2 linked regions of the Caenorhabditis elegans genome follow. The protein of the gene in region 2 interacts with the protein of the main gene of each other region in a pairwise test. Each region holds a gene or a part of one and is shown on either strand. Other genes may lie near its edges. The genes, in order: C53D5.5 and clec-64.

What was found.
Region 1: the proteins of clec-64 (region 2) and C53D5.5 interact in a two-hybrid assay, tested with the Caenorhabditis elegans proteins (one large-scale study listed by BioGRID).

Annotation. Positions count from the first base shown.
Region 1 is NC_003279.8:305,310-312,889, reverse strand, and holds C53D5.5 (Gamma-glutamyltranspeptidase 1), read left to right. Parts: upstream 1-2,099; 5' UTR 2,100-2,102; coding exon 2,103-2,128; intron 2,129-3,128; coding exon 3,129-3,348; intron 3,349-3,455; coding exon 3,456-3,685; intron 3,686-4,098; coding exon 4,099-4,319; intron 4,320-5,075; coding exon 5,076-5,799; intron 5,800-6,281; coding exon 6,282-6,600; intron 6,601-6,801; coding exon 6,802-6,990; 3' UTR 6,991-7,079; downstream 7,080-7,580. Other genes in the region: imb-3 (Importin N-terminal domain-containing protein), read left to right, coding at 12-1,054, 1,106-1,256, 1,314-1,489.
Region 2 is NC_003280.10:12,896,456-12,901,025, reverse strand, and holds clec-64 (VWFA domain-containing protein), read right to left. Parts: upstream 2,785-4,570; 5' UTR 2,737-2,784; coding exon 2,270-2,736; intron 1,498-2,269; coding exon 1,304-1,497; intron 1,243-1,303; coding exon 1,045-1,242; intron 985-1,044; coding exon 872-984; intron 810-871; coding exon 624-809; 3' UTR 587-623; downstream 1-586. Other genes in the region: clec-63 (C-type LECtin), read right to left, coding at 3,639-3,818, 3,951-4,261, 4,310-4,506.

The sequences.
Region 1 (7,580 bases), on a different chromosome or scaffold from region 2:
ATAAATTTCAGACGAAGATGTTCACGAAAACGAGGAAGGAGTTGAATACCACGGAATCGGAGGAGAAAAGACTGTCGGAATCCGCACCAGCGGTCTTGAGGAGAAGGCAACTGCTTGCGATATGCTTGTCGCGTTCGCCAAGGAGATGAAGGAGGCTTTCATGCCATACGTCGTCGACGTCTACGAGCTCGCCATCAAGAATCTCGATTTCGGACTTCACGACGGAGTTCGTACGGCTTCCGCTGAAATCATGCCATGCTTGTTGACCTGTGTTGAGAAGCAAGGATTGGCTGACAAGCGTCGTTTGTGGTGCGAGTTCTTGAAGGCATTGACGACCTCTATGGAGGAGGAGGACGATGTCGAGATTCTCGCCTCGTTCATGACGACCATCGGATCGTGCATTGAGGTTATGAAAACCGAGGGAATCGCCGAGGAAGAGGTTCAACTCATCATTTCGGTGCTTCTCAAGCAACTTGAAAACTACGGAAAGAGAATGAGCGATCGTCCAGTTGAAGATGAAGATGACGATGATGCTGAAGCTAAGGAGGAGCTCGATTATTTCATGGAATTGGAGGCCTCATGCCTTGGAGCCATCTCTGATTTGACTCACTCTCTTATGAAGGAGTTCAAGGGAACTATCTTCGAGGGAATGATCAACGTGTTCAACTGTGCCATTCAACTCATCGAGGGATCCAAACAATACTTCGAGAGACAATGGGGAATGTGCCTTCTCGATGACGCCATCGAGTTCGGTGTCGGACATATGCCAACTCGCTTCCCGAAGCTTATTCCAATAATGTACAAGTTGTTGGGAGATGAGTATCCTGAAGTGAGACAAGCAGCGAGCTACGGTTTCGGAGTTATGGCCATCAACTACCACCAGATCAGCGACTACCGAAACGAGATTTTGAGCTGTTTGGAGCCACTGGCCGCCATGATTCAACGAGAGGACGCCCGAGCCACCGAGGAGAGCACTGTTGCCACGGAAAACGCGATTTCTGCATTTGCCAAAATCATCGGCAATGTGCCACTTCCTGCTGAAGCCTACGGAAAGGTTGGTTTTAGAATTCAGTTTTTCAAGAAAAAAGTTCCATATTATTTCCAGGTCGTCGAGATGTTCCTGAGCTGGTTGCCAACATATTCAGACACCGAGGAAAGCCCCTACATTTACACGTGTCTCGCCGAATTGTTTGATAAACAAGACGCCGCACTTTTTGGACCAGAAAATCAGAATCTTCCGAGAATCTTCCTTGTTTGTAAGTTCTAATCTAAAAAAATCCGTAACTTATTTTATTTTTATTTGTATTTTTCAGGCTTGCTCTCAATCGCCAACGATGCTTTCAACGACGACGATAGCGGCAACCAAACCAAGCAAAGAATTGTCACAATCCTGAAGCAAATCTACGCATCGTTCCCACAATTCGCGCAGCAAGATGGAATCGACGAGCACCTTACCAGTGTCCTTCAACAAACTCTCAATGGGCAATAATAAGGACTTTTGTTGTGTTTTTTTTTTTGCTGTTATCTTCTCCATCTTCACCGAAATGAATCTTGTTCACTGTTAATCGCTTGTTTCGCGGCTATCCTCCTATCATCATCATCAGTTTCTTCTTTTGTTCCACCACTTCTCCCCGATGCCACATTTTCTCTAATTTTTATTAGTTACCTATCGACTTTTTTTCTGTTGTGTTGAATATTATCCTCATTTTCAAATCTACTCGTTAGTTGTTACAGTTAAAGTTTTTGAAAATAATTTCAGCCAAAACCTCCACTTTCTCCTATACTCCAAATCTAAAAGTCATTCTTCCGTAGTCCTCATTGTTCCCCCTTCCACCCAACTCTCTCCCACCACAGAATATCTCTTCTGTCACTTGAAGACTATCCTCGATAAAGAGAGCTATTGGCGGTTACCCCCTCTTCTCTTCTCTTCTCGTTTGTCATTGGAGCGCGCTTACACGCAGCAAACTGTAGCTCTTATCTAGTTTTGCGATAGAATTCCGTTATCGTGAAAAGTTGCAATTTTGACATTCTCGTCCTAAATTTCCAATTGACAGCGCTTTGACTTTTTCTATGATTTTTTAATTCATACTCAATTCTGAATAATGACTCCTGAAGGGCAATCGACGAGGTGAGAGAAAAATCGATAATGTTAAAAATTCGCGGGTTTTTCGAGAAAATATTATACGTTTGTGAAAAAAATTCGAATCGAGACCCAAACGAGGCGGCATGAGTTTCTGAAAAAAATATATATATGGATTCAAGATTTAAAAAGTGCATTGTTTTTAAATTTATAATGCTGGAAATATTACCCAAATGCGAAAATACGGTACCAGGTCTCGAAACGACCAATTTTTTAAAAATAAAAACAAGCGTGCGCCTTTAAGGGAGTACTGTAGTTCTCACATTTGCAAATTCTTTCAAAAAAATCATGATGCTTTGAAAACAACTATCGATGAAAATTTAATTTTTTGAAAAAATTGATACAACTTTTTTGGTATATGAAAAACGGGCAATATTTTCGGAATTTCGAAAATTAAATTAAATTTTATGAAAAGTCGATAAAAATCGATACATTTTTGTTTGAAATTGCACAAATTCAAATTTTAGAATCTAGAAATCTATAAATTCAAATTTTTTAATCCAGAAAATCGATTATTTTCTCAAAAAATTGAAAATACTCTTCAGATTCATCTTTTTTGTGGAATATTCAAATTTTTGGGAAACCTCTGATTTTTGAAAATTCCATTTTTAAATCAGAATTATTACGGCAACACAAAATTCTGAGAATGCGTATTGCGCAACATATTCGACGCGCAAAATATCTCGTAGCAAAAACTACAATAATTCTTTAAATGACTACTGTAGTGTTTGTGTCGATTTACGGAAATCATTCATTAGTCGATAAATTGTTTTTTAAAAAACACAAAAAAAATGAAAAAACCGAAACCCCGTAAATCGACACAAGCTTTACCGTAGTGATTTAAAGAGTTACTGTAGTTTTCGCTACGAGATATTCTGCGCGTCAAAAATGTTGTGCAATACGCATTCTCAAAATTTCGCGGTCTTGTAATAATAGTGATCATGCCACTCAATACATCAAATTTGACGCGCAAAACTCGACTTTTCAGCAGTAACCCACCTCCTGTTCAATACTATAACACGTTTCCGGACGATGATAATTTACCGCCAGAATATGGACCATTTGATGAAGTTGAGCCGCTTATCGAGGCCGAGCAACCCATGAAAATCCGTACTTTAGTCGCGGCGGTCGGCTTAACGGTTCTCGTATTCACGTTGTTAATCTCAACGGTCGCATTCGCTTCATTGTATTTTCATTTACTAATGCAGGTTTGTTAGAAAGCTAGGCCACGAGGGTGAAAACTAGTCCGCAGTCGGTTCATGGCTGGCCGATTTGCTACGTGGCCGATAAAAATAAAACTCGGCAAGGTTTCCAGAACAATGCCCGCCTACCCCGTTGGCCTGGACCATCACTTTCTCCACTCGGAAAATATTCGAAAGCCGCCGTCGCCGCCGACAACGAAATTTGCTCAGAAATCGGTCGGAATATTTTGCTGAAAGGCGGAAATGCGGTGGATTCGGCAATCGCCGCACTTTTCTGTATCGGTGTAATGGATACACATTCGGCCGGAATTGGCGGCGGACATTTTATGACTATTTATAATGCGTGAGTTGTTGGTCTCGCCACGAATTGGAGCGGAACATCAATAATTAAAAAAAAAGATAATTATTAATATTGATTTTTCAACTAAAAATCAATAATCGAAAAGGAAAACAAAGAAGAAAAATTTTGGAAGAAAGAATGATTTTCCTAGGCCATTAAAAACATTTTTGCAAACATCACATTGTGGCCTCACTGGTTTCTGGCCTTCGTCAAAGCGTTTTTCTCGCGCTCCATTGACAATCGTCTACACGACGCTCCGTAAATTTACCCCGGTCGTGGCCTAGTCCAAACGGGCTAACTCGGCAAACTCTTCCATTTCAAAATATGAGGAAAGCCAGAAGCGCGTGTGGCCTTTAAACTTCTGCCGTGGCCTAAAAATATTTTCAATGACTTAGAAACCTCTAAAATTCTTCCAGAACGACAAAAGAGTGTACGGTAATCGATGCTCGGGAGATTGCTCCGCTCGCCGCAACAGAGGAAATGTACCGTGACAAATGGAATCAGTCGAGAATCGGATGGAAGGCGATTGCGGTGCCCGGAGAGCTTCACGGCCTCCGGACTGAATTCGAGAGATTCGGAAGTGGAAAAGTCGAGTGGAGACAGTTGTTGAAACCAACTATTGATTTGTTGGCTGAAGGTGGGCACTTTTTCTGCGAGCCTAGAATATTTCTGTTGGCCTAAAAAACTCCTAACGGCGTAGAACATTTTTGATGCTCAAAAACTTTTCTGGTGGCCGTTTTTAGACCGGCCAACAATCCCTAGGGGTAACGGATAACGGGGGCAACGGATTTAATATTCCCCGGGGACAACGAAAAAGGGGGGGGGCAACGGATTCAACGCTGCTCGAAGGCAACACAACAGGGGTAACGGAAATGGAGGCAACAGAACAATAATCCCTGAGGGCAACAAAAAGCGAGGCAACGGAATATTGAGCTCTTGGTAAGTTAAATGTTGAACTTTTTGTAAAAATCAGTTTAAAAGTTTCTCCAATTACTGTGTACGTTAAGATGGGTATCACAATAAGTCTCACCACGGCGTGTCTCACCACGATGGGTCTCATCACGATGGGTCTCTCAACGGAGGGTCTCGCCACGATGGGTCTCACCACGATAGGCCTCGTCACGATGGGTCTCGTCACGATGGGTCTCGCCACGATGGGTCTCGCCACGATGGGTCTCACCACGAAGGGAGACGGGCCCAAATTTTTTCAGGAGGAGAAGACGAGTAGTTTATTACATTACTAAAAATTTCTAGACCATCAAAAAATTTCTAGGTCACCATAAAAATTCTAGGCCATCATAAAAATTTCTAAGCCATCATGAAAATTTCGAGGTCACAAAATAAGTAACTATGTTATCGGTTCATGTTTCTAGGCCATCCTAAAAAATTCCAGGCTACCCAACGTCCCATGCCCTTGCAAAAGCTCTCAACCAAAACGAGCACCAAATCCGCGCGGAGCCCACCATGAAAAACTTCATCAACCCCGAAACTCAGCGTGTCTTCCAACCAGGAGAGCAGATAAAAACCCGCCAAAACCTTCTAGAAACATTCCGGCTACTCGCAAACTCCACAGATCCCATCGCCGACTTTTATACAGGTCGGCTCGCCGAGCAACTCGCCAAAGAGTTCGAAGCCAACGGTGGGATCATCCGGCTTCAGGACTTTAAAAATTACAAATCAATAGTCCACGACTCAAAAAATGTGATCTACACAAAGCTGAAAAACGGGCGCGGAGTCTGCGGCCCGCCGCCTCCCTCGGGCTCAGCGGTGGCTCAGGCAATACTTAACGTGATGGATGGCTTCGAATATAACATGAAGTCGTTCAACGAAATCGCAACGTTATACCATCATTTTCTGGAATCTAGCAAATTTAGTTATGCGGCTAGAAGCTGGCTTGGCGACCCGCAATTCGTGGCAAACGCCACGGAAATCGCCAAAAATATTACGTCAAAAGAGTGGGCGGATTGGGTTAGGTCGAAGATCACAGACACGACGCATCCTGATGATTACTATGGAGGATCGTTTGAAGCACCACCGCAGGATCATGGAACAACTCATGTATCGATTATCGATGCAGACGGCAATGCAGTTTCGGTTACGTCTACCATTAACTTATAGTGAGTTTGGCTTTTTTAAAGGAAATTTTTGGTGGCCGAACTTCGAAAACTCGGCCAGCAAGTGAGAAGTTAGTCCTCAGTCGACAAGCAACTGCAGTTGATAAAAATGAACAAGTTCGAGGTCGTCACCAAAAATTTTAAACTAATTAGGCCAGGGGATGATTTTAGGCAGTCTTAATAGTAAATTGTTTACCACCTGGATTTTATACCGAAGTGATTTCATAATCTGGGCCACGTGTATAATTTCTAGACCATCAACCAAAGTTTATATACGCCCACCTGAAATTTGGAGGCCATCACCTTTCAATTCTAGGCCATCAGTTAAAAACATTTTTAGGACGACGTTCAATTTTTAGGCCATCAGTTCAAGTTTATAGGCCACAAACTTAAATTTCTAGGCCATCACTTTGACTTTTTCGGATATGAAGACATTTTCTAGGCCACCGCCAAAAAAACTCTTCCACCATCTCAAATTCTTCCAGCCTGGGTGCCCTAGTATCCTCCGAATCGACGGGAATTCTCTGGAATAACGAAATGGACGACTTTTCCACTCCCGGTCATCCGAATTTCTTCGGTTTCCCACCGTCTCCCGCCAATTTCATTCGCCCTGGAAAACGCCCCATGAGTAGTCAAAGTCCATTAGTGATCTTTAACACAAAAGGGGCGGAGCTTATGGCGGTCGGCGGAGCCGGTGGATCCACCATTATTTCGGGTGTTGCTGGAGTTGCACTGCATGCGTTATGGCTGAAAGCAGATGTTAAACAAGCTGTTGATGCTCCAAGGATGCACAATCAGTTACAGGTAGAGAATTACACGCGAAATTTGATTTTTTTTTTGTTGGAAAAATCGATAATTGTCAAAAAGTTGATTTTTTAAAAATAAAAATCAATAATTTTCAGAAAAAAAACTTCTGAATTTAATTTTCAATCAATTTTCGACTTTCACATGAAATATTTTTCAATCAATAAAATCAAAACCTTTCCCAATTTCCTTATTTTTTAGCCAAATTACACGTGGTACGAGCCAAACTTCCCGAAAGCCTACGTGAAATCCCTGATCGATCGTGGTCACGTAATGAAGGCAGTGAACAATTTGACAGTTGTCACCGCCGCCGAACGACTTTCCGACGGCCAAATCTATGCGAACAGTGATTTCCGAAAAGGGGAGGAGTCAGCGCCAGCGGGATATTGATTATTATGTTCATATTTTAAATTTTGTGACTTTTTTGTTGATTTTTTGTAGAAATCGGGTGAAATTTGAAAATAAATGTTCTAGTTTTCGCACTTGTGTTAACACTTTTTTACTGGTCTTGTGGCCGCGTAAATAGGAAACTCGGCCATCGATTTTTTAGAACATTTTTTATCTTAAGAAAAACTCTTTTCATAATGTTGTGTATTCGAAGGCGAGACGAGGAGGAGAAGACGAGTAGTTTATTACATTACTAAACTAAGGAATAAATAAGTTAGTTCATAGAGTTCACGTTGTACGATCTTCTTAGCCACGTCGTGGGTCAATACACGTTGATACCCAACACATAAATAGTAAGTTTAGTCAGGGTTTTTCAGTTTTCAAGCCAAAAATTTGTCTGTAAAAATTCAAAAAAGGAAACAAAGTTTTTTTTTAAATTAAAATTCTTCATATAAATTCAGAGTTTTAAAACTTCAAACCCGTAACAATGAACGAGGTACAAATGAGACAAGGTGAAACATATTACACGTTCGTCAAAATTTTTTTTCGAGGAAAGTGTAATAATACATGAACCCATAATAAAACGCGATGAT
Region 2 (4,570 bases):
TGAGACTTTGTTTTTTTAGACCCAAAATGACCCAAAACTACCGAATTTCGTAATGAGACGTTTCGAAAATTCCTCGAAAAAAAAAGTTATGGAGGTTCAAAATTATGAAAAAAAGGCTAGTTTTTTAGCTAATTGTAAAATCAAAATTTTTGTCAACTTCTCGGTGTCACAGCATATTTAATTTAAACTGTTTAATAAATATTATGTTCTTTTATTAGGAGTTTATTCGTTGATTTGAGTACATTCAAGGTCTGTGAGACACAAAAATGTAATTTTTGTTTGTGCCCCACTGGCCGAAAAAGGACTTAAATCAACGAATAAACTCCTAGTAAAAGACCACAATATCTATTAAAGAGTGACAATTGAATCAAAAATTAAGTTCCAAACAATGTTATTTTAGCTGAAAATAATCCTTTTTTCTAGAACTTTGAACCGCCATAACTTTTTTAAAAGAAATTTTCAAAACGTTTCAATACGAAATTCGGTTTTTTGGGTAATTTTGGCTCCAAAACAGCAAAGTCTCAGATTTCGATACTCTATACTACCTAAGTACGATTTTCTGAAAATTGGTAAACTTCGATAAGCAAACTAATTCAAAATACATACATATATGTACAATAAATTCAATCACAATATTTATCAGTATCACATGATGCAACTTCACACATATAATTCTCATTTTCTCGGTATCCATTGATGTTTTGCCATCCGACGTCTAGATTCGAGTTATGCTGATGATTAACGACAACGGTGTTGGTGAATGGGGTGTTCGGATATGTTGGATTCCAATGCGAGTAACTTCCATTTTGCTGGAATTACAGTATATTGAGTTGCCAGACAGAGAGGAAAAATAAAGCTAAAGCTGTTATACCAAAATGAGTGGGTGTCCTTCTGGCTGCTGCCATCTCCATGCTCCGTTGACATAGCTCAACCCGGTGTGATAAGCGTAAGGTTCAGTGAATTCAGCATTGTTCAGAGCTATTCCTGGAATTCTAAATATTGTGCAAAGTCTTTGGCACTGGAAAACTTGTATGAATGACTCACTGAACAAAAAATCATGCTTCCGATCATCAAACTCGGTTACAAGGTAACCATATTTAATGCTATTCTGGCAAGCGATCTTTGCACTTGCCCATGATGCAGTTATAGTTTCGGCTCGGATGCAAATTCCAAATTTATAAGACTTCTCGTCGTCATAGCTTGGCCTGTATTGAATCCAAGTTCTTGGACAGAAACAGTTTGCTGAAATCAAACCATTTTAAATTTTTTGTAAAATTCCACCACTAAGAAAGAGAAAACGTACTCTGAAGAGCGGCTGCCTGAATTTTGCCGACCAAATTGGGATCTCTAGACTTGAATGACATATTTGGTGATGCGATTTTTGAGAGCTTGCTCAGTAGGAGCCCATCTCCATCTGGGTCAAAAGCGACGGTTGCGATCGCTACTCCAGATGATCTCAGACGTTTTGCAATGTTTAGGGGGTCTTCTCCATCTTCTCTGGAAAAACTTTTTTTTTCGGCAAACGACTTTTCCGGCAAATCGGATCAAATTGCCGGAGTTGGAATTTTTGTCAAACCGGCAAACTTTCGGAATGAAAATTTCCTGCGAATCGGCAAATTTACCGGAATAAAAATTTCCGGCAAATCGGCAAATTTTCAGCAAATTTCCGGAAAATCGCAAATCAGCAAATTTCCGGCAAATCGGCAAATTTCCGGAATAAATATTTCCGGCAAATCAGCGAATTTCCGGCAAATCGGCAAATTTCCGGAATAAAAATTTCGGGCAAATTGTGGTCTTGCACATTTTTTTTTTGGAAATTTCAGAATTTCAATTTTAATCGGCAAAAATGTACGTATCCTATGAATGTTTCTACATCTATTTTGAGTAGAATGCAAATTCTATAAAAATATATTAAGAAAACGGGGTAAAATTTCAAAAAGGCAGAGTTTTATGTGTTTTCATCTTAAAAAAAATCGCTCTAAACATTTCCGGCAAACTTCCGGCAATTTGCCAATTTATCGAATTTGTGAACAAAAAAATTTGCTGAAAATGATAATGATATATTTTCCGGCAATTTGAAAACATGCAGATTGCCGGAATGGAAAAGTTCCGGCAAACCGGCAAGTTGCCGATTTGCCGAACTGCAAACCCTGATTCAAACTACATACCGTTTGAAACGTTTATGAGTTTTTCTTTTCCAAATATTGGCAAGAAATTGTATATAAACTAATTTTAGTTTAACTTTCAAAAAACAAATCTAAGCTTCTACCTGTAAGCTGAAGCATAAACCACAACCAATCGATTATAATTCTCTCTAACTCCATTCATCCTTCCATTGTAAAGAACACTCTCAGCCATCCCAAGCCCTTTCGCCAGGAACGAATCATCAGAGTCACTGACCTCATTGAGAAACGAGAAAAGCGTCTGATAGACGTCATCGGCCGACTGAAACTGATTCAAGTCAGCGACAACTGTAGCCTCACTATTATAAGTGAGTATGCTAAGCCTGGTAGATCTTGGATCAGAATAGTCCGTTCCAATTCTTGGGCCACTTGCAAATGTGGTCGCAATATTGGCTGCAACTTCTGTGATTCCTTCGTTTGTCATGCCTTTCGAGTTATCCACGACTATAACGATGTCTAGCCAAAGGTTATTCCAGTTACTTCCACAGTTGCGATCAGTTGAAGCTTGGGTTGTTGCAAAAGCAGTGAAAATGGCAAGTAGGTTTAGTAACATTGCTGGAAATTTTGGAGCTTCATAGCTTCAGCTTCATATACCGAAAAACTGTAAAAATGCATTCAAAATAATTGCAGTAAGTTTGAAAACCAATTTTCAAAAAAACGCCAAACAACAGAAAATTGACAAAAAGCAGGCATGCAGGCAGATAAATAGGCATGTGTGCGTGCCTGTTTTTCATGAGAAACCAAAACATGCCTACCTGCCTGAACAATATGGAAAAAAGTAAACTTGAATGTGGAAAAGTAAGGAAATGATGATATTCTGAAAATAATCTTTTATGAGTTTTTTTTTTCGAGGGATTAGCATTTCCACACGGGTGTGCACACATTATTTGCTCAATGATAACGAAATTTAGTGATTTTCGATGCAATCGAATTTGTAATTAATTTTAGTTTTGGGTAGGTGAAAGTGAAAGGTTAAGAGCTTTTAACATTTATATTTTTGAGAAAATGTTGATTTTTTAACGGGGTTCTGGCCTTCCTCATTACATTTTTCTCGCTCCATTGACAAGCCGGACAACGGGTGGGATAGTCGTGTACTCTACACGGACAAATGCATTCAGCTTTACAACTAAAACCGAGCCGCGACGCGCCGTAAATCTACCCCAGATATGTCCGAGCCAAAATGGCCTAGTTCGGTAAACTATTGAAACTTGAACACAACTTTCAGTCTGTCTTCTTTGTATTTTGTAGTTTGATTTGCGGACAACACAACTGTGAGGGGATGAATCTACAATATAAGTTTTACTACACTTCAGAAATTATTTAAACAGTATTATATTTCTTGATTTTTTCCATTCGACAAATTATTTTAATGTGAAAGCAAATTAAAAAAAAAATTCATCATTAAAGCCTTTATACCGCAACAGGAACCTTACAAAAAAAATTAGTGTAGCTAAATTAACAATACTTGTCGGTATCACAGGAAGCGACTTCGCACATGTAGTACTCAGCAACACTGTATGCGTTGATGTTCTGCCATCCAACAGTGAGATCCGAGCTGAATTGCTGCTCAACGACTCCGATGTTGCTGGTGAAGGACTTTGGATAGGATGGGTTCCATTTGGAGTAGCCGCTCATCTGAAAATTGATTAGGCTTATCATCCGAACAATGTTCAATTTTTCGTTATCACTTCTAGTGATTTGATCTTTTTCAAGGTTCAATACGACTATCATCATCTTACATCATTACGTGACAACGGCAAAACTTACTGGCTTGAGTGGGTATCCAGCTGGTTGCTGCCAATTCCATCCTCCGTTCACATAACTCAATCCGATGTGATAGATGTATGGAGCTTGGAAGGCGGTGTTGTTCTGGGCGACTCTGAAGAGGAAGTTGTGCTTCTGTCCGTCGTACTCGGCGGCGAGGAATCCGTTCTTGGCGAGGTTCTGGCACGCGAACTTGGCAGCGGTCCAGGATGAGGAGATGGTGGCGGGGCGGATGCACACTCCGTATTTGTAAGAGTTCTCGTCGTCGAAGTTCGACTTGTATTGGGTCCACAAGTTCGGGCAGAAGCAGTTGGCTGTAATTTTGAAATTTTATGTATTGGTAGAACAACTAAGGATCTTACTTTGAAGAGCAGCTCCTTGAAGTTCTCCAACCAAGTTCAAGTCCTTGGAGGTGAAAGCGTAGTTTGGCGAGGCGATGTTGGTGAGTCCGGCGAGAAGAGCCTCATCTCCGTCCTGGTCGAAGGCAACGGTGGAGACAACGACTCCGGAGGACTTGAGACGATCGGCGACTGGAATGGGGTCGAGCTCGCCTTCTCCCCTGAAACGTAGGAGTGTGTAATTACTTTAAATATTTGGGTGCTCTCTATTTTTGTCTGATCTTC